2 linked regions of the Cricetulus griseus genome follow. The protein of the gene in region 1 purifies or fractionates together with the protein of each later gene. This does not show direct contact. Links are inferred from orthologs where the notes say so. Each region holds a gene or a part of one and is shown on either strand. Other genes may lie near its edges. The genes, in order: Eif4b and Eif3a.

What was found.
Region 2: the proteins of Eif4b (region 1) and Eif3a purify together in Homo sapiens (co-immunoprecipitation; 3 studies listed by BioGRID and IntAct, with this or other methods). This does not show direct contact. The link is inferred for Cricetulus griseus from reciprocal best matches to the Homo sapiens genes EIF4B and EIF3A.

Annotation. Positions count from the first base shown.
Region 1 is NC_048595.1:398,486,246-398,501,150, reverse strand, and holds the end of Eif4b (eukaryotic translation initiation factor 4B), read right to left. Parts: intron 13,291-14,905; coding exon 13,153-13,290; intron 13,055-13,152; coding exon 12,881-13,054; intron 10,019-12,880; coding exon 9,790-10,018; intron 9,075-9,789; coding exon 8,962-9,074; intron 7,831-8,961; coding exon 7,617-7,830; coding exon of another isoform or gene 7,613-7,616; intron 7,096-7,612; coding exon 7,040-7,095; intron 5,697-7,039; coding exon 5,518-5,696; intron 5,172-5,517; coding exon 5,091-5,171; 3' UTR 3,124-5,090; downstream 1-3,123. UniProt on the Homo sapiens protein: Required for the binding of mRNA to ribosomes. Functions in close association with EIF4-F and EIF4-A. Binds near the 5'-terminal cap of mRNA in presence of EIF-4F and ATP.
Region 2 is NC_048596.1:529,022-544,998, forward strand, and holds part of Eif3a (eukaryotic translation initiation factor 3 subunit A), read left to right. Parts: 5' UTR 1-107; coding exon 108-156; intron 157-7,932; coding exon 7,933-8,123; intron 8,124-8,266; coding exon 8,267-8,403; intron 8,404-9,094; coding exon 9,095-9,258; intron 9,259-10,981; coding exon 10,982-11,181; intron 11,182-12,554; coding exon 12,555-12,763; intron 12,764-14,513; coding exon 14,514-14,685; intron 14,686-15,890; coding exon 15,891-15,977. UniProt on the Homo sapiens protein: RNA-binding component of the eukaryotic translation initiation factor 3 (eIF-3) complex, which is required for several steps in the initiation of protein synthesis.

The sequences.
Region 1 (14,905 bases):
GTGGGGGCGCCAGATGTACTGGTGTCCCGGGTCTTAGGACACCACTTCCTGGTGTTCTCCCCCACTGGAACTTTTCTGTGTCTCTTCTCCCAGAAGACTCACAGCTGAGGACCCACACAAGGTTCAAAGCTCCCACCCCTCAACGGCTTTAGTAATCGCCCCTGTGTTCCTGGGGCTTACCAATGCAAGTTCTTTTGGTGGTGTCATCGCATTCCTTTTTTTTTTTTACTTTTTGTTTTATTTATTATGTATTTTATTTATTATTTTTTGTCTGCATATATCCCTGCACACCAGAAGAGGGCACCAAGTCTCATAACGGATGGTTGTGAGCCACCATGTGGATGCTGGGAATTGGACTCAGGACCTCCGGAACAGCAGCCAGCGCTCTTAACCTCTGAGCCATCTCTCCAGCCCCTCATTCCTTTTTAAAAGTCTGATATTGGAAAAGAACGCCTGAAATTAAACTGATGGGCCATGGTGCTAGTTTGAGTTGTGACAGTGGGAAGGGACAGTGGAGGGTAGGGAATGTGTGGTCCTAGAGTCTTTGAACCTATGGGCGTCCCAGTTCCCAGCATTCTTTAACAGATCCTATTACCTTCCTTCCACACTGGAATTTCCTTAAGTTGGTGAGCCAGAGGATCTCCATGCTGAGAAGTGGGAAGTGCCTAGAGTTAACTGTCGAGTAGGTTCCCAAAGCAGTCCAGCAGGGCCTGCTCAAGCCCTCTGGGTCTGCCTGCTGGCCTGCCCCATCTCAGCAGGGTTCTGTGCTCATCATGTCTCTGGCAAAGGCTGGGTTTGGCGGTTTGGTTCTGATTCCTGGGGAATGGAGCACCTGATTCTAATCTGGCAGCTGGGAAGAGCTGAAAGCATGGATCTTGCTGTCCAGTGGGCACTTTACAGCAGCCGGACTCCTGGGGGACTAGAGGGAGAGCTGGAGAAGTGATGGGGAGGGAATGGTTGCACTGGCAATGGAGAGAGAGAAGCACAAGTTAGAAGACAGTGACAGGGATTGGAGGCTGATGGGAAAGGGCAAGGCTGAAGGTCCTGCTGTGGCAAGATTATATTGTGTAATTAATAAAGAATATGAAAATATATTATTTGATGTCAGCAGCCAGCTCTTTTAACATCCAGCCCTTTCCAGAATGCTCTGGGCTTTGGTTGGAACTCGCTTTGTAGACCAGGCTGGCCTCAAACTCGATCGCCTCTGCCTCCCTGCTGGGATCAAAGGCATGGACCACCTCAGCAGGTTGGCCATAGGTTACAATTTCTGAAATCACCAGAGTGAGCCACATTGATTGGATCTCAAAGGTGGGTGGGACTAGAACTTCACACCATGCCCAAAGGGCTACTAAGAGGAACCTGAAAGGTTCCTAAGAATTGGAAGGGGAAGAGAGGAGTCACAAGATGGGTAGCTGAATCCTCTCAGCTCAAGCTCACTACTTTCCAGGCACCAATTGAGGGAAGGAAATGTAAAGCAGGATGCTTGGTGGGGATAGGATCAAAGTGAGTGGCTTGGGGAGGCAGCCAGACATTGTGATTGCTACCACGCCACAAAGCTGTAGGGAGGAGAGGGGGAGAGCCAGGCCACTATGGATAAAGGTGTTCACCCACTTACCTCCCTTCATGGCAAATATTCTTACCTTGACTATACAGAAAGAGATCCATCTCAGTACTGAAGGAAGAACCCCCTTTTCCACAGTCTGAGACCTCATGCCCATGACTGATGCATTCAGTTTCTTAGGGTGTGTCTTGAGAGTATGGGGCTGTCCTGGCTGAAAGAACACTGAGTCAAGGAAATTTTGGTGGTTGGTCTGGGCTCTAGGAACCAGGAAGGAGTAGTATGGGGTAAGGGACAGAGCCAACTCCAGAGGCGGATCTCCCTGGAGGACAGAGCAAGCATTGTCCAACCAGGAGGTGGCTGCAGCTGGGCGGGGATAGCATTTTCTTCCAAACTTCTTTTTGTGGGGGCAGGAAAGCAAGTCCCCCTTCACTTGTAGCCTTGGGGGCTATAATGGTTGCTGAGAAACGAAGCTTATTTGTCAAATGTTGCTACCGAGAAGCAGATGTGATCAATCAGTTCCTGAGACTTGTGAGTTAGTGAAGCATTTGAGGTGATACTGTTCGCATGAACCCGGGCCTTCATATATATACTTGGATTCCAGAGCACAGTGCCCGGTTCTGATAGGAGAAAGCAAGTCTATGTGGCCTGTTGTGTCCCCAGCCTAGACTCAAGTCTGTCAAGTGAATATCCTGTTTGCATTCTGCTAGCTGACATGGGCAGACGGGAAGCTAGGTCTTCTAAAGACTGGTTGCTCCCAGTTGGTTGGCTACTAGGCCTAGACTAGCTTCTGGGGTGAAGCCTGGGAAACCTCTTTCTTGCCACACTGAAAAGCTCTCAGCACAGCCACTCACGGATCCCTTCCAAACTCTTGCCAGTTTTGGACTTGTTAGAAAATAGAAATGGGAGGTGGTGTCACACATCTCTAGTTCTAGTACTCAGGAGGCAGAGGCAGGAGGATGTACATGAGTTTGAGGCCAGCTTCATACTGTCCTGAGTTTCAGGACAGCCAAGGCTACACAGAGAAACTCTGTCTCAAAACACCAAACCAAACACAAAAAGGACAAAACAAAAACGAGGAAAGTAGCTGTCTCTAATGGCACACAGCCTGTGCTGCATCATTCTTGGATACAGTACCTCAAATGTGTTCCAATTCCTTGTGACTATCAGTTCTGTCTCTGCCCTAACCCTTTTCCCTGCTTTTCAGCAAAGACCACTTTTGTTTGGAAAGCTTAAAATCCAGGTATCTCATGAAGAACAGTGGTTTCAGTACTGCCGCTCCACAGCAGCTGTGCAGTCTGTGGATGGCACCACTTGACCTCACGGATAGCTGGGAGTGAATTTAAAGAGGCATGGGTTGCACCTGTCACATCCACATTCAGGTGTTAACCCTGATCAGAAATGCTGGAGGATGAAGTTGAATAAGGTCCCCAATCTTGGGCTTTGTGCACTGCTTTGTGCCATGCAGTAACTCATCCTCTGCTATGCAGACTGAGGGATTAGAGATTTGGAAGAGAGGTGGAACAATAAAAACACAGGGAGCATGCAAAAACCGCAGCATTAACTTCAACTTTAAAGACTGGGTTTATTTGGAGAAAAACAAAAAACCCTCAACCCAAAGGATGGGATTTTACATCTCAAGACATCTCCCAAGTAATGTCTACAGATTACAAATCATTTTCATAGAAGATAGTTTTGTACAAATTTTACATGTATTCAGGAGCGGGACATAAGTCAACCCCTGTTTTTATTTTAACAGAGGAGCAAAGTAGGAGAGCATGGGACAGAACAGCTTTCTTCTGGATGCAACTATCTGGAAGGGAAATAGACATGAAGAGGGCTATCTACCTTTTCATTGTCTACAACCAAAGGTTTAAAAAAAAACCCCATTCAATGGTGGGTCTCTCTAAAGGCCCGCTTCCTAGCTACTAGCCAATCAAGTCCACTGGATGAGCGACTTGCTATGCCCACTGCTGCAGCCCATGAAACCAACGCTCCTGCAGAGCAGGTCTAGGGTTTGCACATTAAGACCAGGTCTCACTTGCCTGCAGGTACCCCGATGTCCCACAACAGGGAAGCTTGCTGTCAAGGTGCAGATCAAAGCAGACAGGTCAAGCTACTGTACTCAAGAGAAGCCAGACCTTATTCAATAGTTCTCTACATCATCCTTTATTCTTGAAGGAAATCAAGAAACCACCCCCCCTAAGCAGAAAAGCACAGTCTAGGTCACATTACAAACCCAAGCACCAGCATAGGGTTCCCATGAAGGAAACAAATAGAAATCTTAAACACCCCAATCAAGGCTGAAGACCTTTAACTCAACTCTCTCCATTCACCACCCAAGCCCATCAATTGAAATACTCTGACCTCCAAAGGGGGTGAAGGCAGCAGGAGCAGGAATTAAAGATACCACAGAGCTGGATTGCTTGACAAAAGCAGTGATTCCACAAGGCCACAGCTTCTGGTGGCCAAGATAAAAAAGAAAAAGAAAAGAAAAGGAAAAAAAAAAAAAAAAAAAGGAAAAGGAAAAAAAGAAAAAAGAGAGAGAGAGAAAAAAAAAGGTCTGTGAGAGCAGGTGTGTGACTTAGAGAGACTGCTTTTGGAAGGCTGACAGTGTCATCAAGAACATGAGATGACCAGTGACAAAGTTTGGAAAGAATGTGGATATATTCGAACCTTTAGAAAGGACAGATTTTAGAAGACTGGAATTTCCCACGACCGCTAAGTGCTTCCTCATCCAGGAAATGATTGTTCTATTCATGTGTCTATTGGAGGTCACAGCATTTCCCTTACTACCTGGTATAAAATAACTGATCATTCCCTCAAAACTTTTCAAACCACGATTGAGTTTCCCATTCATTTTGGTCCCCAGAGGTACTACTTGTTAGTGGCCTGTAGACTCACTCCCAACTACCCCCTTGGGGGGTAAAAAATTAAAATTAAAAAACAAAACAAAACAAAAAAAAAAAACCCAAAACACAACTCCCCTAGGCTGGCCCCAGCTAAGTCTGAATTGAAGTAGAAGGGCTGGCAGCCTCCTGGAGACTAAAATAACTTGAGAGACTAGATCTACCTGGCCAACGGTGGGAAATGTACTCAGATGATGTTTGGGAATTTGTAGGTGCCACCACAGGACAACAATTAAAAGGTAGAACTCTCACTCTTCCTTGTACCTTTCTCTACTGCCTAACTGATGCAACCGAGTCTCACTGTCACTACATTTCTGCTGAATGGAGCCCCAGGCACTAGTCACAAAGGTAACCACTTCTATCATCAGAACACATCACAACTTCCCCATTCAAAAGTGATAGCCACATCTCTCTGGCTACAATGGTGATTCTCCAGTTACTTCAATACTTTAAAAGGCTGCAGCAGCATGCAAAACAATTTCATTTCATTAAAAAAAAAAAAAAAAAGTTAAGAAAGGTCTTCAGGAGATGGTGAGCTTTATTTTTTCTTGTCTGGATAGAGGTTTGATTTGCTCTTGAATCTTCCGGGGTGGAGACTAGAAGAAAGCACAGCATGTGGAGGTCTACTCAGCGTGGTCATCTCCCTCATTCTCATCTTCACCATCCACAGAGAGAGCAGCATACTTGCTTGCAGAACTGAACTTCTATAATAGATGAGAGGGACAAAGTAATAAAGTCTGAGATTTTCCTAGAAGCAGAAGTTAATGCTTTGGCATAGGGGACATGAATTCATCTAGGGGTAGCATGTTCCACCGAAGCAATCAGGGAGGGCCAGGGTCACAAGTCAGCTCACCAGCAATACACATCCTTTCCACTTTGCAAGTGTGTAAGAGCTCAGAAGGGTTGACTCATCAACAAAAAGCCCATCTTAGCTTTTCTCATTAACTTGAAAAAAACACCACTGCCTCATTTCCAACTTCTCCAGTCTCAAGAAAAAAGGAGTCTGCAAAACTGAGCTATGAGAAGTGGATGCAAGCACACAACACTTACAGAGGCTGGGTTCTCCTCAGATTTCTTTGGCTCAGGTGCAGATCTGGAGTCTTGATCTTTTTTGCCATCTTTCCTGTCCAACCCCTTCCAGTGGTCTTTGTTTGCTCCATCTCCAGGGCCACGACTTGGGAACCCAGTTTGGCCTTTTGGGACATTTACCCCATCTATTTTATTTTCATCTGTTTAAGCAGAAACACAAAAACCAAATTCAAGTCACATAAAGTAACCTATTTCCTTGTACTAGATTTTCTTTTAAGCCGAAGAAAACATGTACTAAGGGAAATTAACTCCATTCCAGGCCTTTCTTCCCAAGTTCCTATACCACCCAGGCATACCAAACAAGACATATTAAAAAGTCTCACTGTAGTAAATGTCACCCGGAAAAGCAATATAGAAATAAAGACCAGAAGCCAGGTGGTGGTAGTAGTGCAGGCCTTTAATCCCAGCACTGGTTAGACAGAGATAGGCAGATCTCTCAGTTTGATGCCAGCATGGTCTTTGGAGTAAGTTATAGGACAGCCAGGGCTACACAGATAAACTCTTATCTCAAAAAACAAAAACCCCAAACAAACAGCAAACCCCTCTTCCAGGAAAGAAAGAGAAAAAGGGACTAGATTGTTCTGTAGTGACCTTGGCTGGTTAATGGTGACATTTCTCACCTGGACAGACATAGTTATTCCTGTCCAATTTCCCCACCAAGGCAAGGTTTACCAGGAAAGCCAGCTTCTGACACTCTTTGAAGAGCCCATTCCTGCCCTCTATTGGCAAGGAAAGGTAGCTCATCAAAAGAACATCACAAAACAGGGCATAAAAGTTCAAATTTCTTGACTGAAGGTTGACAGGGGGAGGGAAGACATTTTGAATAGTGTGGCCACTGGTAAGGTGCCAGAACTTTTGTAATCCTCAATAAAGCCCACTAGGCAACTCCCCCACAAAAGTCATAAAAGTAGAATAGAGGCTAGCTGGGGAAGAGGGATTGGCAGGAAGGAGACAAGAGAAGCTAACAGGGCAGCAGTAATGATAGGATTAAAATACATCATATACATGCATGAACTTGTTGTCTTCATGAGACACAAATACTGCAGCTTTCAGCAAAAAAAAAATAATAATAATAATATTTTTTTCTTTTTTTCTTGCTCATGCCTTTAATCCCAGCACTTTGAGGCAGAAGCAGGTACATCTCTGAGAGTTTGAGACCAGCTTGGTCTACAGAATGAGTTCCAGTTCCAAGATTACATACCTTTATCTTGAAAATCAAAAACAAATTTATTTGGTCAAGGTGTTTAATTCAGGAATTTTTTTAAGAGTTGTTTTTATTTTATGAGTATTGCCTGCATATTTGTGCCCCACCTATGTCTGGTGCTTGTGGAGGGCAAAGAGGCATCAAATGCCTTAAAGAAACTGGAGATATGAATGGTTGTGAGCCACCATATATGCTGGTGCTGGGAACTGATTTTGTAGCTCTTGGATGTGTTTGTATCCAAGGCTTTACACAGATCAAAACCTACTTCCCTTGGCTCACCTTTTCTTGATGGTCCGTCCTCAGAGGGCTGAGCTGGAGCTACTTTCCCTCCACCACTAGAATGGAGCAAGCAATCAACCATCAGTTTTTACAAGAAAGACAACACAAGCTTATACCATTTCCAGAATGCAGTGGGTTGCCTTTATAGAAATACACAAGAGCCTGCATGTTGAACACTGCAATATTTAAGTATAGGAAAAGACAATGAAAGCAGTCACTTCCACACTCAACTGCCATATGCTTTGGAATTTATAACCCAGCAAGGCAATAGTAGTTTTCTCTTTGCAAAAACTGAGAAAAGTTAAGAGAATCTTAAGTCACTTAAATGATATGACCCTCCAAGGTTACACTAACAGTATATCTCAGGACAAAACCCAATAGACATGTCTACAATTTCTGTGGTATAAATGCGCCCATCATAGCTGATTTCAACCCATCAAAACGATGCCAACTGGCTAACAAAAATGAAAAAAACACACTGCTATGAGACACCTCAGTATGAATTATACATACTACAAAGGCCAAGACCCCTCAGGGCACCTTCCAGCTAAGCAGCTGCTGTTGCAGGCCTACTCACCTTGTAGGGGACTGCTGCTCTGTGTCTGAGCTCTGAGATCGAGCAGGAGGGTTAGAGCTTCGCTTCACCCACGCATTCTCCTTTGGCGGAGGGGCTGGCATTACCTTTAGAGGCTGATCAGGTTTAGAAGGTTTGGAGGTTGGAGAGTGACAGTCTTCTTCTTTATTGAGGGTTTCATTTTCTAGAGACTTCTCACTCTCTCTCCTTCGTGTATCTGGGGGATGGGGGGAGACTCACTGTATATACACTGTATAGCATTTACCTGAACTGCAACAGCATAGAAAATGACGTACCACCACATTAATTCCATCAGTACAGACTGATTTGGCTAATAGTTATAATTACACAAAAACCAACCATGTTCTCTGGGAAGAAAAGGGAAAAATCTACCTATGTAAGAGACAACTGCCTTCACACAGGAACAAAGATCAAAAACACTTGTATTTGCACAAAAAGTTTTCTGGAACTGTGGAGCCTGATTTTACAGAGGTGCCTCCTACATTTGAAGTACAAACACTACCAAAGTGGCCACACAGAGCAATACCACACTTATCCCAGCCACAAGGACCACTACGTTATGTTACTGGACCACTCCAATGTAAAACATTCCCAGAAAACTCTTAAAACACTTGGCTCAATTTACAAAGCACCTTGGCGGTAGAAGAGCTTAGGCAACAGTGGGTCACAGTATAGGGAAATGGGTGCTGTGATGAAATACTAGCTATGCTTGTGAGTGAACAATCTCAGGAAGAATGATGTTCTATCCCTCAAGGACACTGCTTTGAGGCTACCTAAATAACACCATCAAACAATGTCACCCCCAAGAAGAGCTTGTGAATGCCAATGCTATGGTGGCTCTAAAAACAAACAGACTAACAAACAAAAACCCAACATACACTGTCGAGATAGAAAATAGGGGCTGGCAAGATGGCTCAGCAGGTGTGGCAACTTCTCACCAAGACCTGCTAATAACTGAATTCAGCCAATGCCCAGGACCACGCAGGGTGAAGAGACAGACTTCTGCAGGTTTTCCTCTGGCTTCAAGGCATGGCATGAATATCCACCTCTCCACAAAATACATGTTAAAAAACAAGATAGTCTAACAGTCAAGTATTCTCTTTAGAGACAGATAATTAACAGAACATTGAAGTCTATTCTGGTACCTGTTCTCAGGCTTTTGGAGGAGAGATGTGAAAACCTATCAACCCTTGCTGAAGGCCCTGGTCTACTCGACAAATGTCAGGATACCCAAGACGATGTAGAGACTTTGTCTGAAGACTGAATCTACAAACACTGCAAAGTCCCTGCATACTCTGGTTATGGAAACAGCAATACTGATACCCACCCTGGTCTGACTTACTTCTGCCAGATGTGGCTGAGGTCCCAGTCTGAGATGACTCACTTCCTGTCCTCGACCGTTCTCTTTCCTGAGTTTCTTCACTTCGCCAACTTGGGTGTCTGCACACAGGAGATTAAAAACGACAGAAAAATGGTGTTCAGTTCACTAAAGGCCATCATGAACCTCACACAAACTGTTTATTACAAAAATTAACAGCTACAAGATGGACGCTGTTGGTGCACCCTTTGAATCCCAGCATTTGGGAGGCAGAGGCAAGCGGATTTCTGAGTTTGAGACCACCCTGGTCTACAGGGCGGAGTTCCAGGACAGGTTACAAAGCTACAGAATAACCCTGTCTTGAAAAACAAACCAACCCGAGGCTGGAGAGATGGCACAGAGGTTAAGAGCACTGACTGTTCTTCCAGAGGTCCTGAGTTCAATTCCTGGCAACCACATGGTGGCTCACAATCACCTTGAATGAGATCTGGTACCCTCTGCTGGCATGCAGGCAGAAGATTGTATACATAATAAATAAATAAAATCTTAAAAAAGAAAAACCAACCAAAAAAAATTTGATAAACCCATTTTACAAAAAACAGGCAGGATTTATTTACTTCTGTATCAAAGTGCCACCAATTTCTATTTATGGCAAGTGTGGCAAAACTTTTGAAAACTCCAAGGAATGAAGTCTTTAGTGTGTGACACTGTCCCAAACTCTGGAGACCGCTTCACCCTGCTCAAAACACTTCTCAGTGAGTGATACCAGCCATCACTCCCATCCCCAAAATGCCTCCACTCAGCAGCAGGGATGAAACCACTATCAAGACACCTTACCTCTCACGTGGCCGGCGGTCTAGTTTTGGCTCATCCAGCTGCCTTTGCAATTTCTCTTGCTCCTTCTGTAGCCGCTCTTCTACTTCTCTTTCTCTAGCAGCTGTGTCAACAGGCTTTGCCCCTCCAAAGATAGAAGCCGCTCGACTGGACTGGGAGGTGCTAGCAGAGGAATCATCTTCCTTAGGAGTACTCCGAGGCTTTAGATTCAGTTTGGGTCTTTGGGGGGGACCTAAGTTAAATGAAACTCTAAGTAACAGTTTCCAAATAATCAGGTGAATGCCAAAAGCCAGACTCCAGACACAGCTCTCATGATCTTGTTCAAGGATCTGGTCTGGAAAATGAGCATCTTCAACAGGTTCAAAAGACTTTGTAGAGCCAGGCAGTGGTGGTGCACGCCTTTAGTCCCAGCACTGGGGAGACAGAGGCAGGCGGACCTCTATGAGTTTGAGACCAGCCTGGTCTACAAGAGCTAATTCCAGGACAGCCTCCAAAGCCACAGAGAAACCCTGTCTTGAATACCCCAAAAGAAAAAAGACCTTGTAGCAATGACAGGGAGGGAGGGAGGGGAGGGAGGGAAGGAGGGATGAGGGAGAGAGAGAGAGAGAGAGAGAGAGAGAGAGAGAGAGAGAGAGAGAGAGAGAGAGAATTGTGAGAATGAGAAGGAGAGAACACGAATGTGAAGGCCAGAGAGTGCCAAAGGATCTCCTTGTACACTCAATCACCCCATTATAGATACAGGTGAACATACCCAACTCACCATTTTTTAAATGACATGTGCTGGAAATGTGAACTCAGACTAATTACCCATATAGCAGGCACTTTACAGACAAGGGACTATCTTCTTATATTTTTGTATGAAATTCTAAGTAGGCCAATTTCTTATTAATCTTTCTACATTATCAGAGTACTTTCACAATAAACCTAAAATTGGTTTCAGCCTTAGTGCAGAAAACTGATATGAAAGGTACTGTGACTAGAGAGGAAGCCTGTGTGTATACCACTGGGTTTAAGTGATGAAAGAATACACGCCATGCCCACCTGCACTGCCTTCTCACAATAAAATGCTAAGTTTGGTCTTCTGTATTACGTGGGTGCATGTATTGAAACAGTGTATTATTTGGCTTTTGTGTGTGCATCCCTCACACGCACAGATGTCAACCTTAGGACACTCATTTCTTAAGCACTGCCCACCTTTTCTGAACAGGGTCTGAGTGACCCAGAGCTTGCTTGATTAAGGTAGGATGGCTATCCAGTGAGTTCTAGGAATTAGCCTGTCTCTTTTTCAAGCTATGCATATTTATTTATTTATTTATTTATTTATTTATTTATTTATTTATTTAATTTGGTTTTTCAAGACAGGGTTTCTCTGTGTAGCTTTGGAGCCTATCCTGGCACTTGCTCTGGAGACCAGGCTGGCCCCGAACTCACAGAGATCCACCTGCCTCTGCCTCCCGAGTGCTGGGATTAAAGGCGTGTGCCACCAACGCCCGGCATGTAAATTCTGTTTTAAAGTTATGTATTTTATATGTAGTGTTTTGCCTTCATGTATATGAAGCACACGTGTCTGGTGCCTTCTGAGGTCACAAGTGAACAACAGATCCCCTGGAACTGGAGTTTTGGTGGTTGTAAGCCACCATGTGGGTGTTGAGAACTGAATCTAGCTCCTCTACAAGAACACCAAGTGTTCTTAATGTTCACCAGCTCTTCCAGCCCCTTGACAAGTTTCTTACATGGTGTTGGCACAGAACTCAGTTCCTACTGCTTGCATAGCAACACAGTCTCATGAACCATCTCCAGACCTTCTATGAGAGACATAAGACAACAGTTTCTACAACTGCCCAAACTTGTCAAGGAGCAATTATCTTTACATTCAAGATAAAAGTGGCTCAGAAAATATGTAGCCAATATTTGGCACACTAGACAATGGAATGAATATGATTACCAACTTCTACCTCTCCTCCCTTTTCATTTAAAATTTCCATGTATCAACAAACTCATCACCTGTTTAGATACTATGTAAAAAGCTACAAGGATAGGTGATGGTCTCTATGTACAAGAAGCCAAATTTGATAGGACCATCAGATTTAAAAATACTACATGTTAAGTCTAACAAAATTAAGTTCATATTAAAGACATGACAGGTACAGAGGAAGCTCAGCAGGTAATGATGTTTACTCCTAAGCTGACAACTCAAGTTTGATTTCCTGGACACTTTTGGAAGAGACTGGATTCCCACAAATTCTCCTCAACTTCCATGCATGCAAGCATACACAAAAGAGTGAGCGAGTGAGATCTAAACAGATAAGAACCAGCCATGGCCTGCCGCTGACTCCCAAGTGCTGGGATTAAATGTATGCATTACCAGTCCTATCAATTTTTTAGGTCAGACAACCTAGCCTTCAGATGGCATCACCACATTTAAGAACATAAGTGGTTATTTTTAATAACATTTGTCAGAGCGAGTGTGAAAGTGCTTTTTTTCAAGCAATCAGGTGCATAATTTTTAGAATAAGCACACAAAAATCTCACTTAAAATTAGCAACATTTGTCCGGGTGTTGGTGGCGCACGCCTTTAATCCCAGCACTCGGGAGGCAGAGGCAGGCGGATCTCTGTGAGTTCGAGGCCAGCCTGGTCTACAAGAGCTAGTTCCAGGACAGGCTCCAAAGCCATAGAGAAACCCTGCTTGAAAAACCAAAAAAGAGCGCAACAACATTATTACACTAAAATTACTGACTGGAACTTTTATTTTCTTGTTTCCTTTTCAACTGTTATATATACATTTTTTGAGATAGGGTTTCTCTGTGTAGCCCTGGATGCCCTAAAACTTGCGTTGTAGACCAGGCTGGCCTTGAGCTCAGAGATCCGCCTGCCTCTACCTTCCCAGTGCTGGCTTTTTTTTTTTTTTAATTTTAACTGAAGAAAAGATTGTCTCATTTTCATTATGTCACCCATATCCAATTGTCTACTGTGCTCTGCTACTTCATTTAAAATATATAAACTGTGTTTTCTAAGCCAGGAGGTAGGCAAATACACTTTACAACTTAACTTTCCGACATTGTGCTCCACGATAAAGAATGAGAAAATGAGTACCTCTGTCATCACGCCTATAATCATCCCGAGAGTAATCATCCCTGGAACTCCAGGACCGATCGTCCCTTCTGTCATATCGGTCTTCATAGCGGTCCCCACCTCCTCTGTAGTCATCATCCCTTCGGTACCCACTACCAAATGCTCTTCTGCCACTGCCTATCCTGGAGTCATAGCCTGTAACAGATCTCAAATGTGGTCACACAGAAAGGAAAAGAAGCCAAAAAGAAATTCTTGAAAAGAAGCACTCTCACAGGGTATGTTACTGTGACTACCTCGGTCATAGTCTCTGCTGCCTCGGTCATCATAGCGATCCCGGCCCCCATAGCGATCCATATCTCTTCGTGGGCCATCCCGATATCCATCCCGATATCCATCCCGATACCGGTCTGAATCATAACGATCTCGATACTCTAGAAATAAAAGCGTATAGGTAACACCACTCTCCCCCATAGTTCATCATCTATTCACTGATTCAGTTTTTATAGAGCAAAGCACATCTTCAAATCAGAACCATTTGTACTAAATTAAAAATCTCAGTAGTTAATTATTTCTTAAACAAACACAAAGCCAAAAACCCCAATGGGTGCTAGGAATGGCGCTCACGGCAGAATGCTTCCCCTAGGAACACCACTTGAGAAAAAACCCACATGCACAAAATGACAGCTCCAGGATGTTCCCCTAATGAAATTTTGCTGGCTAAAGTGTTTTTTTTTTTTTCCTTTCTCTCTTGGGTGGGGTGATAGTAAAATATATATTCCTTAACAAATTCTAGAATATGTTAAAAACATGTAAGCATAAAACAGAATAACTGAAAATTTCTATGTTTGATACAAAACAACCAAAGATTGCTTCAAAAAGCTTAGTGTGAGGACCAGCCAGATGGCTCAACAAATCAGGGCTCATGACTCTCAAAAGTTGACCTCTGACCTCTCCAACTTATGCTGAGGCATACATGTGCTTGGCTACCCTGACAATAAATGCTTAAAAAACAAAGGGTGGTGGTGGAGCCTGGAGAGATGGCTCAGCATTAAGAAAGAGCACTGGCTGCTCTTCCAGGGGACCAGAGCTTCAATTCCCACTGCACACATAGCAGCTCACATTAGTCTATACCTCTAGTTCCAGGGGACCTGAAAGCTTTACATAGACATAAATGCAGACAAACACCAATGTCCATAAAATAAAAGCTGTGGTGGCTAGAGAGATAACTCTGCTATAGGAGTTCTCACTGCTCTTCCACAGGACCCAAGTTGGTTTCTACAACCTAAACCAGGTGGGCAACAACTGGTTTTTAACTCTAGCTCAAGAGTCCAATGCTTCACTGTCTCTGCAGACACTATATGCGTGTGCAAACCCCCCAACATACATACATACATACATACATACGAACGAATGAGTCAGGGTTTCTCTATGTAGATCAGGCTATCCTCAAACTCAGAGATCTGTCTGCCTCTGCCTCCCAAGTGCTGATATTAAAGGTGTGTGTCATCACACCTGATAAAAATAAAATCTTAAGCTGTTAGTCTTAGCAAACACGAGAGCCATGTAGGCATAAGGAGTCCCATGCCAGCCAGGACTACATAGTGAAAACACCTCAAAAACGAACAAAACTTAATACAATACAGTGCTGCTCTCAAATTGCCCTTTTCTGAGTTTTAAATGTTATTCTTACTATTACATACACATTATGATAAAATATGAAGAATTCCATTATTTGCTGTGTTTCAGCTGTTCTCCCACACCACACTCCCAAATCTCTTTTTCCACTGCCAACGTCTGGTGAAGACAAGATTCTTTGCACATTGTCTCCAGCACAAAGGCTGTTACTATATTCTATATTTTAAGTGCATGAATTACAAGTTCTCTGAGAGTCATCCTTTGCTGGCCGTTGGTGACGCACACCTTTAATCCCAGCACTCGGGAGGCAGAGGCAGGTGGATCTCTGTGAGTTCTCGGCCAGCCTGGTCTACAGAGCAAATTCCAGGACAGCCTCCAAAACAATACAGAGAAAACCTGTCTCAAAAAACC
Region 2 (15,977 bases), on another chromosome or scaffold:
AGGCGCGTGGAAGGAAGCTCGCGCTAGTCCCCCTCCGCCTGCCTTCTCTCCCGCTCCGGGCCACTAGGGAGTTCGCTGACGCCGGGTGAGCCGAGCCTCCTGCCAAGATGCCGGCCTATTTCCAGAGGCCGGAAAATGCCCTCAAGCGCGCCAACGGTGAGTACGGCCGCAGTCGCGCCGCACAGGGCCGGCCCGAGGCGGGGAGGTCGAGGGCCCCGGCCTGCTGCCCGCAGCCCGGGCTGCCGAGGCCGGCGATGACGGCCGCCGCCACCCGGCCGGGTGTCGGCACGGCCGCCCGCTCGCTCCAGCGGGCTCCCGCGGAAGCGCCGTCGAACCGTCGCCCCGGCCCGTCCTCCCCGCCGCCCGCCCGCCGCCTGGTGCTTGCGTCGCGGGGCTGCGGCCCGGGAGTTAGGTCCCTCCCGCCCTGCGATCCTTCCCCCGATCGGCCTCCGCCGGCTCCGAGGACCCGCGGGCTGCCGGGGAAGCCCCGCGCTCCCTACCGCCATCTGGGAGTGTCGGGAGGAGGAAACATGGCTCCCTCCCGGGGACAATGCACGCGAGAAGCTCAGCTCCACCTCCCGCCGGGGCCGAGGACCCGGCTAGGTGACTTCCACCCCACCTCTCGGGCACGTCTGGCCCCAGGCCCCACGCGGAGGCCTCCCGGGTCAGGGTCCGCTTCCCTAAGCTGGTCGCCAGCTTGCACCTCAGGCCTCTGATCCAGTAACTTGTGTCCTGTGGGTCGGCAACCCCCCCCCCCCAGATTGATTAGGGTCAGTTCGAAAACCTGTTCTGAATCACGAAAAGTTAATATTCTTTAGGGATTTAAAAATGGTTCTTGCCAGGTAAGCCTCCAGAAAAGTTGTTTCCCCAAGGTCACACTTTTAAGTGTCGGGAAACTAAAACCAAGGTCTCTTGATAGCCAGATCACGGCTTTTTTTTTTTTTTTTTCCTTTCTTTTACCGCAGCGCCACCGAGTATTTCTATTTCCATATGTGTGCTTAAGCCCTGGCGCTTTCAGGAAAGACTTGTCCGGATCTCTTTAGTTTGCCAGTGTGTGGTGGAAAAGTCGTGTGCACATTTCTGATCTTTAAAAACTGCCTTTAAAAAATCCTAACAATTGTGTCTCCCAATCCAAACAGATAAACCATGTATGTAGAGGGTTTATGTTTGGCAAGTTTGCTAGGACTGGAGGTCTCTGTGAAAAGGCCATTTGAGCTAGTACTTAATAAAGGAACATTTCTGATAATGTCAGGAATAAAGATGTGTTGGTTACATACTTCTGAAATGTGGTTTTTTTTGTCGTTAGGGAGCAGTCTGCAATAAAGTAATTATGCACTCTGAATTTGTAGTAGAGCTTACTAAAACTGCAAGTTGCTGATAACTAACCTAATACTACCAACACTAATTTACTGAAATCAGAACTGTAGCTAAGTTAGAACTTTGGATGTTTTACTTAAAATTGCATTGTGCTGTAGAAAATGGAATTGGGGGACTTATTGGGTAATAACTGTTATGTGTATGTTTAATTTATAACATTGACCAGCCGGCATTTTCCCCCCTGTAGCTGTCTACTTAAAGCACTGCAGTCTCTGGCCTACATACATAGTAACATGCTGACCTTGTTTTGTTTTTTTTTTTTTTGCTGTTTGGAATCTTCATGTGAACTTAATAGTTCAATAAATTTTAAAGCAGGAAGGTTACATAATGTGTTCTAAATTGCTTTTCACTGTTTCTCAGTAGAAGTAGACTTGATTAATGATGAGCAAGTTGGGGAAAGTATCAGCAAAGTACTGTGTCGGTAGCATGGATCCTGTCGGTGTGTTTTTCCAAAGTCCTGTATTGACTTGCTGCAGCCGCATTACATTATCTGAAGTAGCAGGTAGTGATTGATGCCTTAGCTTTCTAGGGACTTGACATGAGCAGATTGTCTCGTAGCCCTGTGTATAGAATATTACATGAACGATAAAAGGGCTTTTAACAGCCTAGAAATCTGTTTACTTAAATGTTTTATCTGTAGCATCTGTAACTCTAGGGATATTTAGACCTAATCTCCTGAATTATTTTAATAAAATAAAGTTAAATAAAATAGCCCTGAAAGTCACCCTAAGCAGTAATTTTGAGGGAAAAGTGGCACAGCCTTTCTCTTTATACTCACACCCTACAACTCCCGCCTTAAGAGATAGTTGTATTGAAATCCCACAACTGAGTAGTAACATTATATCTTAGATACTTAATCTGTTGTATAGATTAGTGAAAAATGAAGGATTAATGTGAGCCTTTTCTTTGTTGGCACACATGTTCAGTCATGTCCTAAAGATTCTATACTTTGGAATAATTCTGGATTTCAGTTTCTAGAATCTTAATCTTGGAATCATTTAAGAGTTGAAATAATTTCTAACCTCAAAAGCCTTCCCACCCCATTAACTAGGCAATTGCAAGGAGCTAAGTCTCCATGCTTGTGAGTTAGGATGACTCAATCATCAATCATCGTGGAGAGTTTGTTCCAATTTCAGCCTTTTGTTTAAAAACATTTATTCCCCACCCCCCATTTTTCTTATTTCGGGGTTGAGGGGTGGTAAGGATGTCCATCCATAATTATGTGTTTTGAGACAGGGTCTCTTACAGAAACCTGGCTGCATAAGAATCCACCTGAATGCTGGGGTTAATTTAAAGGCATGCTCCATCACATCCCGTAAAATGTTTTATATGTAAGTGTGCTTCCTTTATAGTTTGAGACTTTCAGACTTAGAAAGGATGAGTTTATTTTTGTAGGGTTTTTGAGTGCCAGTCTCATTAGGTAGCACAGGTTGTCCTCATACTTGATCCTTCTGCTTCAATCTCCTTCAGTGCTAATGATAGAGATTTGGTTATATCTCAGGAAGCTTCTAAGGATGACATTAAGAAGCCACTCTGACAACCAACAGTAACTACAGTTGACAGGGATCTGTTCTCTTCTGACATACAAAAGCATGCATGTGGGGCACATGAAAGTAAAACACTCATACACATAAAATAATAAAACAACTAGTATTTTTTAAAAAGTAAAGAAACCACAGTCCCATAAGAAATACATATTGGGAAAGTGGATTATTTATTTATTTTTTATTTTTTTGGTTTTTGAGACAGGGTTTCTCTGTGGCTTTGGAGGCTGTCCTGGAACTATCTCTTATAGGCCAGGCTGGTCTCGAACTCACAGAGATCCACCTGCCTCTGCCTCCCGAGTGCTGGGATTAAAGGCGTGCACCACCAACGCCCGGAGGGAAAGTGGATTATTATATTTCCAGTGTTTTATATTTTATTTTATCAGGGTTCAGTTCTCAACTTGATTTGTATTTCGTATTGCAAACATTAAATAAGAGCTTGAAAATTTAAATCTTTAAGTTGGGGGTTGGGTATATGGGCATAATATGTTATTTTAATGTTGCTTTAATGTTACAATTTTTATTTCATTTTATTTTATATGTATGGGTGTTTTGCCTGCATGCATGACTATGCACTCACTGTGTGCAAGTAGTGCCCTACTTGAAGTCAGCAGAGGGTGTCGGGAAGAATATTGAATCACCTGGAACTGGAGTTAAAGATGATGTGAGCTTCCATGTAGGTGCTGGAAATAGAACCCAGGTCCTTGAAGAGTAGCCAGTGCTCTAAACTGCTGAGCCGTCTCTCCAGCCCTGCTGTTATGGCTAAATTCATTTACTAATAAGTTTTTTTGCTGATATGAATTTTGGTTAAATTGATTTGAAAAACACCTAAAGTAACATGGAAAGCAACCTTAGGCACATTTCAGGAAGAGGATAGTACTTAAAACAAGACTTTTTGGTTCCAATATCATATCTGGCTGTAAGTGCTTGTTTCATATGGTAAGATTTTGGGGTGGCTCTGTGACTGAAATGAAGATGGTCTTTTCCCACATAATGTTGAGTTTGTATTTGTTTGCAAGTGAGTACCATTTGATACTATAAGGGGTGGAGCTAGGGTTGTGTTTTTTGCCTGGCATACCAGAGGTGAGGCCCTAGGTTTGGGCTCCAGCCAGAGGGAAAAATTGCTGGTATGAGGACTTAGAATATTTTATAAAGATGCTTAGTTTTTGATATATTGTGTGGTTTGTTCAGGTATGAACTTAGTATGTTTGAGAGCCAGAGCAGTATTGTTTCACTAGAAGACTGGGAAGCACCATTCCTGAAACCTTAGTCATTAAACTTGTAGATCTGGTAAGCTCCCAACTAAGGAGCTTTTTTTTGGCCTTCTGAGTGCATGAGTATTTTACTTGTATGTGTGTGTACCTGTGTGTCTGGTGTCCATGGAGTTCAGCAGAGAGGATATCAGATCCCCTGGGATGGAGTTACAGATGGTTTTGAGCCAGCATGTGGATCCTGGGATCAGAAGCAACAAGTGTTTGTTTTAAAGCATTGACCATTGACCACCTACCCCACCAGCCTCAATGCTAACCATTAAAAAAAAAAAAAAGGTACTGAAGATCAACCCTACCCCAGGGCTTCTAACAGTCTTGCTTTAAGGCAGAACATCCCCAAATTCAGATTAATTCAGAAAAAAGAATTGTTTGCTCAAGGTTATTTTTGTTTCTTTAAGGAGTGGTAGAGACAGGGTTTTACTGTGTAGCCCAAGCTGTCCTGGTCAAACTCAGAAGTCCACCTGCCTCAGCTTGGTATTAAAGGTATGGGCCACTGCCCCTGGCCCCAAGACTATTCTTTAGTAGGAAAATAAACACTTTGTTTTAAAATGGAGATGTCGTAAAGCCAGTGTTTTAGCTCCTTCAAATTATGTGTGTTTTTTTCTCTGTTTCTGAGACAGTTTCTCTGTCTTTGGAGGCTGTCCTGGAACTAGCTTTTGTAGATCAGACTGGTCTCGAGCTCACAGAGATGTACCTGCCTCTGCTTCTGCCTCCCAAATGCTGGACTAAAGGCATGTGCCACCACCACCATGCTTCAGATTATGTTTTAAACATTCAAGTGGAAACTTTTTGTGTTTGGAATTCAGCATTTATCTTTTTGGTTTTTGCAGCAGCCTCCCAAAGTGCTAGGATTATAGGCATAAACCATCACTCCTGGCTTAATTACTAAATTAAAAATGAACTTAACCAGTTGACTACATTAAATATTTTCTACTATTTGTGTGAAGGGGGAAAAGGACAAAATATACATTTTTAATCTAGAGCCCACTTCTGTTGACTGAATTTGAAAAGGTACTATATACATAAAATTTAAGACAGCAACTGGATTTGTATGTTACTACACATAATGCCTTCAAGCTCATAAAGTCACATTACTTTGCCCTGTAGTCTATAGTTTAAAAAATAACCTTAATTTAAATTCATTAAAGTTTTTAGTTTCACTGAATCATTTAAAGAGGTCATACAGAATTTTCACCATACCCAATTTCCATGAATGAATATTCTAAAACAGTAAAGTATATCTATCACTCATAACTAAGGAGCCAGTAACTGAAGTTAGTTTTGTTTTGTTTTAGACCTAAGATCTTACTTTGTAGCATTGGAATTCACTAAGTAGACCAGACCAGACGCCAGCTCACAGATAGATCTTCCTGCCACTGCCTTCTGGGTGCTGGGAGCAAAAGCATGCACCAGCACCCCTGCCTAGAAATAGACTTTTTTGTTTTTTGAGACAGGGTTTCTCTGTTGGACAGTCCTGATTGTCCTGGCACTAGCTCTGTAGACCAGGCTGGCCTCAAACTCCCAGAGATCCGCCATCCCCAGAGATCCGCCATCCTCTGCCTCCCGAGTACTGGGACTAAAGGCATGTGCCACCACCATTGCCAGGGCCTCGATTGAGATTATTAAGTAAAGTTTTTACTTTTTTTTCCAATTACCTTTTGCCCTAGGATCCTATCCACATACTACATTACATTTAATTGTCATGTCTTAGTTGTCAGTGTCTTAGACTTTTTGAGAAGTACTCCAGTGTCTTGTAGAATGTCCTTTATTTTATTCTGTGGGCGCTATTGTAATGAGATACCACTTCACCAATCAATACCAAGAATTTATTTCTCTCATTTCTGGTGTCTGAAAAGTCCATAATAAATAAAACTAGCAGGTTCAGTATCTGGTGAGAGCTGGCTGTTTGCCCTTTACTGTTCCAGGGGGAGATAAATGTGGTCCTTACCTGATGAAATAGAACAAAAAGGAAGCTATCTAGAAAGCTACTTGTTGCATTTAGAGGGTGGAACCCTTTGATCCAATCACCTCTTTAAAGATCAACTTTTTTTTGTTTGTTTGTTTTTTGTTTTTCAAGACCGGGTTTCTCTGTGTAGCTTTGGAGCTTATCCTGGGGCTCACTCAGTAGACCAGGCTGGGTTCGAACTCAGATCCACCTGCCTCTGCCTCCCAAGTGCTGGGATTAAAGGCGTGCGCCACCAACTCCAGGCAAAGACCAATTCTTTTTTTTTTTTTTTTTTTTAAGATTTTATTTATTATGTGTACAACATTCTGCTTCCATGGATATCTGCACACCAGAAGAGGGCACCAGATCTCATTGTAGATGGTTGTGAGCCACCATGTGGTTGCTGGGAATTGAACTCAGTATCTCTGGAAGAGCAGTCAGTGCTCTTAACCTCTGAGCCATCTCTCTAGCCCAAAGACCAATTCTTAATAAAGCATTCCATTAGTTAGTATGTATCAATCTGAAGTTTGGGAGGACACTTGAATTTAGACCATTGAATCCTAATTGGTGTTTCTTTTGCTAATTGTTGAGAAGTTTCTTTTGGTTTTATTTATTTTTTCATGTTTTTTGAGACAGGATTTCTCCATGTAACTCTGGCTGTCCTGGAATTTAGAGAGCCACCTGCACCTGTCTTGTGGAGTGCTGGGATTAATGGCATGTGCTGCTAAGCACAGCAGCTCCTTTTTCTTTTTTTTTTTTAAGTTTACTTTTGAGCTGGGCTACATAGAAAGACCCTATCTCTCAAAAGAAAAAGGTGTGTGTGTGTAAAATGCTGGAAGAGCCAGAAGAAAGCTGAAAGTTACAGGCTGTTGTGAGCTGCCTATGTGTGTGCTAGGACTTAGGTTCTGTGCAAGAACTGGACATTCTTCATCCTCTCCAGACCCATGAACCCCTTCTTTCAGTCCCTTTCTTGTTTTTTTGGTTTGCTATGTAAGTCCATTTACATGATAGGAGTAGGTGAACTGTCAAATCTTCAAACTTACATCTATAACTATTCAATATAATCCCAAACAAAACCTTTGCAATCTATTTTGTAATCATTTGTAAATTTTGTATGGAAAGGCTCAGACCTATGTTGGATCAGAGATACCAAAGGACAAAGTTGCATCACTTACTGTCCAATTCCAAGACTTCACTAGATTGCCTTAAGAATGAACTCAATTAAATGGTGCCAAATGAAAAAAAAAATGTTGCCAACTGGTCTTAAAGTAGATATTTAAGCAATCTGCTGTTTTTTTTACTTCTTCATATCAAATATATGTGATAAAGTCATACTTAGACTTTCAGTTACTGGGGGAGATATTCCCCAATCCAAGACTTCAGTTTCTGGAATTTTAAAATCACTGAGTTCTACATGGACATTATATCTTGAGATAATACTGATTTTTTTTGTCATATGTTGGATGATTGTGGGATTCCTGCTAGAAGCCAAACGTGCTTAAATTAAATTACTAAGGAGGCAAGATTTAGATTTTAAAATCTTACTTTATCTGTTGTTTATTTATTTGTGCAAGTTAAGGGAACCTGCACATTCTTTGTGCATGTGGAGGTCAGAACAGTTTTCAAGAGTGGGTTCTCTGCTAACATAGGGGTCTAAAGATAAAACTCAAGAGGATCAGGGTTGCAGCAAGGGCCTTTACCTATTGTGTCACTTCCTTGGTTCTATCATTTAGATTTTTATGTAGTATGTACAACTAACTTTAATTCTCAATTCCTCTCCCCCCTTCCCCCCCAGAATTTCTTGAGGTTGGCAAAAAGCAACCTGCCCTGGATGTTCTTTATGATGTTATGAAAAGTAAGAAACACAGAACATGGCAAAAGATACATGAGCCGATTATGTTGAAATACTTGGAACTGTGTGTGGATCTTCGTAAGAGCCACTTGGCTAAGGAAGGTTTATATCAATATAAGAACATTTGTCAGCAGGTACTGTGCTCATTTTTATATTTTTAAAGTGCTTAGTAACTTTTAGAGGAATTTACCTTTCAAATTAAATTTTATATCTTGATTTGCTTTTAAACATTATTTTAGTTCTTTGGAGAAAAATAAATTCTTTTTCCTTCCTGTAGGTAAACATTAAATCTTTAGAAGATGTTGTTAGGGCATACTTGAAATTAGCAGAGGAAAAAACTGAAGCTGCTAAAGAAGAATCCCAACAAATGGTGTTAGATATAGAAGATCTAGATAATATTCAGACGCCTGAGAGGTATGTGAATTTAATCCCTTAGTAAATATTTTGGTTATTTACACTGTTTTTTCTTTTCCTTTTGCTTTTTTCCGAGACAGGGTTTCTCTGTGTAGTCCTGATTGTACTAGAATGCACTCTGTAGACCAGGCTGGCGTCACTCGTCCTCTTATCTCTGCCTCTCAAGTGCTGGGATTAAAGGTGTATACCACCACCACACAGCAGTGTTTTTCCTTATATGAGCCATCATCACCCCCCCACACACACATACTTGGAAGGTAGATGATTGATTATCAGAAGCAAACTGCTTATCTTTGTATACTTCACCAACCATGTCAGCAATATTTAAAATTTACACTTAGGGTAGAACATGCATTAAAAGTTTTTTTGGGGGGGTGGAGGAGTGTTTTGGAGACAGGGTTTCTCTGTGACTTTGGAGGTGTCCTAGAACCAGCTCTGGCAGACCAGGCTGGTCTCAACTCAAAGAGATCTGCCTGCCTCTGCCTCCTGAGTGCCAGGGAGTCTGCCACCACCACCTTGCCATGCACTAAAATTTAAACTGTTGTAATACAGACTGAAAATTCAGATACAGATGGTAAGGGATAGCTTGACAGTATATATGAGGTTGTGGGAAGAATTTGTCATTGTTGGTTTGGGCTTTCAGATCACAATAAAAATACCTGAATTGTTTTCAATGCATTTTTCTTTGTAGTGTTCTCCTAAGTGCAGTAAGTGGGGAAGACACTCAGGATCGTACTGACAGATTGCTACTGACTCCCTGGGTCAAGTTCCTATGGGAATCATACAGGCAGTGTTTGGACCTTCTTCGAAACAATTCTAGAGTAGAGCGCCTTTACCATGATATCGCCCAGCAAGGTAAAATGACAATATAAAATGTTAATACACTGATTTGAAAAGATGACTTTAGATATTTGTAGATAAACCTTCTGTTCTCTGTAGTTTTTAAAAATAACTAGTTTTATCCTTAGTGAAATGAAATTGACCTTTTTTACATAAATAGCTGAAAAATAGATTTATCTTACGGGTTAATACATTTTCATATGGAATTGTTCTACTGACTTTTGAAGCCCCCTCCTGCTTTTTTAAAGTTAAGCACACATTGATAGGCTTCATATGGTATATTTTCATGTTATTATAGTTCATTCTTGATCATCACTCTCCTGCCAATTCCCTGACTTCTCTTTGTTGACACTTCCCCCCCATCACCCTCCTTTACCCTCTTTTCTACTTGGATAACCTTATACCCTTGGGACAATTTCTCTGTAGTCCTGGCTGTCCTGGAATTCATTCTGAAGGTGGCCTTGAACTCAGGTCTGCTTGCTCTCTTGCTTCCTGAGTTCTGGGATTAAAGGCATACACCACTGTGCCCACCATATTTCTATTCCTAAGCAGTATTGCTTAGTATTGATGTCATGAATCACTTCATACTTGGTTGCCTTTCATCACATACTCTGAAGGACTAGATTACAGGCACCCATCCCCCACACCTAGCTCAGAATTTCTTTATGTGTTGTTAACTTTCTGCTATGACTGTTTTAGTAGGAATATTAGTACCAGTGTTTATTTGCATATGTAACATACGTCTATATCATGTCTCACAAGCAAACTTGTAATATTTGGTAAAAAACTGAGTTGGGGTTAAATCATATTGCTTGTTTTTGGTCTTTTGAAATAGAAAGGTTTGTTTGTTTATTTTGAGACAGGGTTTCTCTGTATAACCTGATTGTCCTGGAACTTGCTCAGTAGACAAGGCTGTCCTCGAACTCAGAGATACACCTGCCTCTGCCTCCCAGATGCTGGGATCAGAGGCGTGTGCCACCACCACTCAGTGAAATACAGTTTGTTTATAAGAGCAAAGATGTTCCAAAAAGTACTCTGATACTGCATAGATGTGAATTTTAATGATGCAGCCAGTAATTACCCATTCTTCTGTTTCTGTATTTGAAATTAGGTAAATCCTTATATCACAGTTTTCATTAGTACAAAAGCATGTTGCATTATTTGTACATTAGATATGTAAGCTCATTGTATTTCATCCTAGCAATTAAAACTGTTCTTTTAGGTCTTTGAATGTAACTCCTAGACTTAATTTATTTTGAAAATTTTTTTTTGTGTATGGATACTTTGACTTTATTTATGTCTATATACCATGTGCATGCCTGGTGCTTACAGAAGCCAGAAGAGGGCCCTGGATTCCCTAGAACTGGAGTTACAGCTGGCCCTGAGCTGCCATGTGGGTATAGGGAATCTAACTTGAGTCCTTGTATAGCCAGATGTTGGCCATATCTTTCCAGCTCCCGACTCTTTTCCTAAATTTAAGTTCTATTTGTTTCGTATTTGTAAATTTCCAGAACCATGTATTGGGCCAGGACTTATGACCGTGTCTTTTTATTTTGCTCAGGATTCAGAGTGTTGGCAGGTTCATGGAGGGAATTAAGACTGACTCTCATTACATAGAGTAATTGTGAGCTTAGTGAATCTTGTTAAAATTGGTCTTAATATGTGGCATATAAAAACCTAACTTAGATATTCAAGTGACAGAAAATATCTAATTCTTGTTTGACAATTATGCTTACAGCTTTCAAATTCTGCCTCCAGTATACTCGAAAGGCTGAGTTCCGCAAGCTCTGTGACAACTTGCGAATGCATTTATCTCAGATTCAGCGCCACCATAACCAAAGCACAGCAATTAATCTTAATAATCCAGAGAGCCAGTCCATGCATTTGGAGACCAGACTTGTTCAGTTGGACAGTGCTATCAGCATGGAACTATGGCAGGCAAGTTAACTATTTGCTTTGTACCACCTTGTATTGGTATTACTGGTTAATTTCAGTAGGTACTGTGAGAATTTAAGGTTGTCTGATGACAGTAGGAATTTAATCACTTGCTAAATCTGGACTTAATCATGTAGTCTTTTCCTTCTATGCAAAAACAAAACAAGTAAAAAAAACAGCCCCCCAAATCCTGCTCACAATGTGGTTCTATGATTGGTACCATTCTGAGTTGGGTAGTGTGATGAGAGAAGTATGGAGAAAAAATATTTAAAGATGGAGATGTTTTTGTTGTTGCTGGTGTTGTTTCCTTGCCTCATTTTGTTTGGTTTTGGTGCCAGGAATTAGGACCTGTCTGTATGTGCTGATCCCAAACCCAGGGCCTTGTCATTACTTGGTAGCCAGTACTTTAATGGGCTAACTCTCTAGCCCCCTGGTGCTGGTGGTTAAACCATAGCCTTTCAAATGGTAAGCATGTGCAATACCACTGATTACATCTAGTTTCTACAAAGACTGTTGATAGCAGTTTCCTCATAATTTTGTGTTAATCTGATAATACATTGTAGCTTTATTGTACTTTATGAGCATTTATTGATGATTAGAAGTTAAAAAACACACTTACTTTTTCTGTATTTGGAGAAGTGCTGGTTTAGTACCATGCATGGTGTATGCTGCATTTTAGTGATGGCAGTAATGATGAAAAGCTTCCTGGCCCTTTCTCCCCTTCTTAGGATATAGTCACATCATTTTGTGACTTTAACATACATGAAGGTGTTTTTATTTATTTAACATAAAAGAGCCAATTGAAATTACAAGGGATTAAACTAAACAAATCAGTTTTTAGTTAAAATGTGATTTAACTAAAAGTTAAACTAAAAGTTAAAAGTAAAGATGTGATTCTCCTGCCTCCCAGCACTTGGTAGGCAGAGGCATGTGGATCTCTGAGTGCGAGACCAGCCTGGTCTACAAGAGCTAGTTCCAGTATAGCCTCCAAAGTCACAGAGAAACCTTGTCTCAAAAAAAAAAAAATGTGATTGAGTTTTCTGTTCTTGCCCAAAGTACTTTTCCTTTTTTATAGGGACACCAATCTTAAATTACTACTTGGAGAGGACAAGCAAACTTGATGTATTAAGGAAAATATTCTAGGACAGCCAAGGTTGCACAGAGAAGCCCTGTCTTGAAAAAAAAAACAAAAAAAAAAACCAAAACGATATTTCAAAGATAGCGTTTTGTATTTATAACAGTTTCTCAGATTTACCAGACAGAAATAGAATCCATATTAGGCATTTTATTTTCTATTTTTATTTATATGTTTTAATTTCATAAAAGTGATTTGTATTTGATCTTTTTTAATGAAGTGATTAACTTGTACATTTTAGGAAGCCTTCAAAGCTGTGGAAGATATTCATGGGCTGTTTTCCTTGTCTAAAAAACCACCTAAGCCTCAGCTGATGGCAAATTACTATAACAAAGTCTCAACAGTGTTTTGGAAATCTGGAAATGCTCTGTTTCATGCATCTACACTTCATCGTCTTTATCATCTGTCTAGGGAAATGAGAAAGAATCTTACACAAGATGAGATGCAAAGGTAAGAATGTTATAGTTGCATGGTAATGAGATTAAACGTAAGTGGTAGTGTGGTCTAAGCATGGTATCTTAGCTTCTGGACGTTTTGGATTGGCTAATACTGTTGTGTGTTGCTAGTGCTTGGTAGGCTGTTTAGTAGTATTCCTAGACTCTACTCCTGAGGGGTCAGGAGCAAACTCTGATTGTGACTACCAAGTGTCTCTGAGACATTGCTCTCCTTGGAGAGTATTCTTGAGCCATCTTCTACTTCTGCCCCGAGAAAAACTGCCACCGGAAACCCAATTGAGAACATGTGTGTTCACAGAGATAATACTAACATGTGAACCTATCCATATATTGGTATATTCTTTTCTTAGAGCAGTTGGATAATTAGGTAATTACATCAAGCTCCTTTTCCCCCCCTTGATTATAAAACAGTAACTAGTATAAAGCACTTGCCTTGTGTTAGTTTATATCCTGGTAAACCTACTATAAGTTGAAAATGTGTTAAGTAAGGAGGTATTACACTGACCTACTTACTATCAACAGTGTGGGTAGTATGTGCTAGGAGAGGAAGGAGGTCTGTTTACTCTTAGGATTGCATGGCTGACTAGGAGCTGTGTATCATTTATTGCTGCTGCATGCTTTTCCAAGAATACTACACACTTTATGTCACTAGCTTGGGACAAGATTAATTCTTTTGTATTACGGTAAAAAATATGGGTAAAACCTTCATGTTTCTTAACATGTGAATCATAAAATGGGGACTATTTGTGTGCACCTTGCAGACTATTAAAATCAAAGTATAGGTTGAATGTGGTGGCACATACCTCTTAGCACATGGGCTGAGGTAGAAGGACCAAACGTTCAACATTAGGCTAGCTTAAACTACCTAGTAAGATCGCTTCCCACAAGAAGAATCCACACAAGACCCTATTACATATATATAGCGTGTTTCTTTTCACTTGCTTTCTTTTTTATTTTTTGTCAAGCTAGAAATTGAATCCATTGCCTCGCACAAGATAGGCAGTTCACAGGTCACCTTTCCTTGTTAGTAAACTGGCTTTTTTTCTTTTAAAGATTTATTTATTTATTATGTATACAGTGTTCTGTCTATATGCATGCATGCCAGAAGAGGACACCAGATCTCATTACAGATGTCTGTGAGCCACCATGTGGTTGCTGGGATTTGAACTCAGGACTTCTGGAAGAGCAGCCAGTGCTCTTAACCTCTGAGCCATCTCTCCAGCCCTAAACTGACTTCTTTTTAAAATATATGTATCTATTTTTCTTACTTTTGTGGAAGAATAGGAAATCAACCAAATGGGTTTCCTTAAGGGAGTTAGTTAATACTTGTAATATTGGTTAGTGTCAGGTCTTTTTGTCCTGTATATGTTATTAAGACTCCTGGGTACCTTTGCTACTTAGCATTCTAAATTGTAGACTTTCTTGTGTTTCAGGAAAGTAAAAAAAAAAAAAAATTTATCCTTTTCTCTGTCATAATTGTGTTTACTTAAAGTCCATTTTCTTAGTTTCCAGAGCTACCTTTAATTATTTTGGTAAGGACATTTGTCTTCACTGCTGTTGGGCCACATTTAGTGTGTTGATATGAGATTGAGTTTACAAGGATTCACTTCCTCAAGGTTCAGTGATCTAATACTGTGTTGTGCTGGAATAATTAGTATGCTACGTATATTCTGTCAATGGCATACAATAGATAATCAAAAGAAGCACATTTCTAATCTTAAAAAATAAAACTTTGTTCACCACAGAATGTCCACTAGAGTCCTTTTGGCGACTCTTTCCATACCTATTACTCCTGAGCGAACAGACATTGCTCGGCTCTTAGACATGGATGGTATTATAGTTGAGAAGCAGCGACGCCTTGCAACACTGCTAGGTCTTCAAGCCCCACCCACACGAATCGGCCTTATTAATGATATGGTTAGTATAAATCTGAGCATTTTTTTGAGGAGAAAACTTTGTGGTAAGTTTTAATTGATGATTACATACTGGAAATTCAGATTCATTGTCAGGCTTCTGATGTGTGGACAAGGAACCACTGATGAAATGGATATCTTGTTCATTTGAGGAGACTCATTAAAGCAGTGAGTGGTTCAGGGTATGTGATGAGTTAGGTATGGCTTGCTTTCTCTCTCTCTCTCTCTCTCTCTCTCTCTCTCTCTCTCTCTGAGACAGGGTTTCTCTGTGGCTTTGGAGGCTGTACTAGAACTAGCTCTTGTAGACCAGGCTGGTCTTCTGCCTGCCTCTGCCTCCCGAGTACCGAGTGCTGGGACTAAAGGCGTGCACCACCACTACCCGGCCTTAGGTATGGTTTTCAGTTACACCTGGTTCAGAACATTGTTTCAGATCCCAGTGGACATCAAAACCCACTGGTAAGCTGAAGTAGGGTAGTGGTTGTATTTGCACATAATCTATGCATAACCCCCAGTTAGATTGAAATAATCTCTGAAAAACATTTGCCATGTTGTTTAGTTGATAAGAAGAAAGCATTTCAGACATATGTAATATTTTTTGAATATTATCTAAATATGAGTGTGTATGTGGAACCTGATGATACAGGGGACCAGAGCTGTTAAATGGACATAATACTGTTCTGTTAAGGGACCAAACTATTCTCAGTTTGGTCCTGAGAATAGAACTGTCCTGGTAATTTTTGTGGTACTTCATATAAGAAAAATTTGTTGTCAGGCTATGGTGGCACACTCCTTTAATCCCAGCAGTTGGGAGGCAGAAGCAGGTGGATCCCTGAGTTCAAGGCCAGCCTGGTCTACAGAGCAGGTAGACAGTCAGTAGAGAGGACAGCTATAACTATACCGAGAAACCCTATCTCAAAACCACCCCCCCAAAATATTTAAAAAGCTCTGTTATTTTGCATTTTTGGATATATAATTTGTGCTGTCCATTGTAATTGTCTTTGTAAATACTGTATGTTGCCTTACAGATTATTCTCTTTTCAAGTTTATTTGGCTTGTTAATTATAGCTAGAAACAATATGGAATAATTATAGTATTTGGTAAATTTATAGGGAACTGAGTTCAGATACATTTCTAATTTTAATTTGTACTTCAGAATCTCTGCTGGAAAATTTCCTTTAGCTGTTAAACTTTTTGCCTTTCTTATTATAGGTCAGATTCAATGTGCTGCAGTATGTTGTCCCAGAAGTGAAAGACCTTTACAACTGGCTGGAAGTAGAATTCAACCCTCTAAAACTC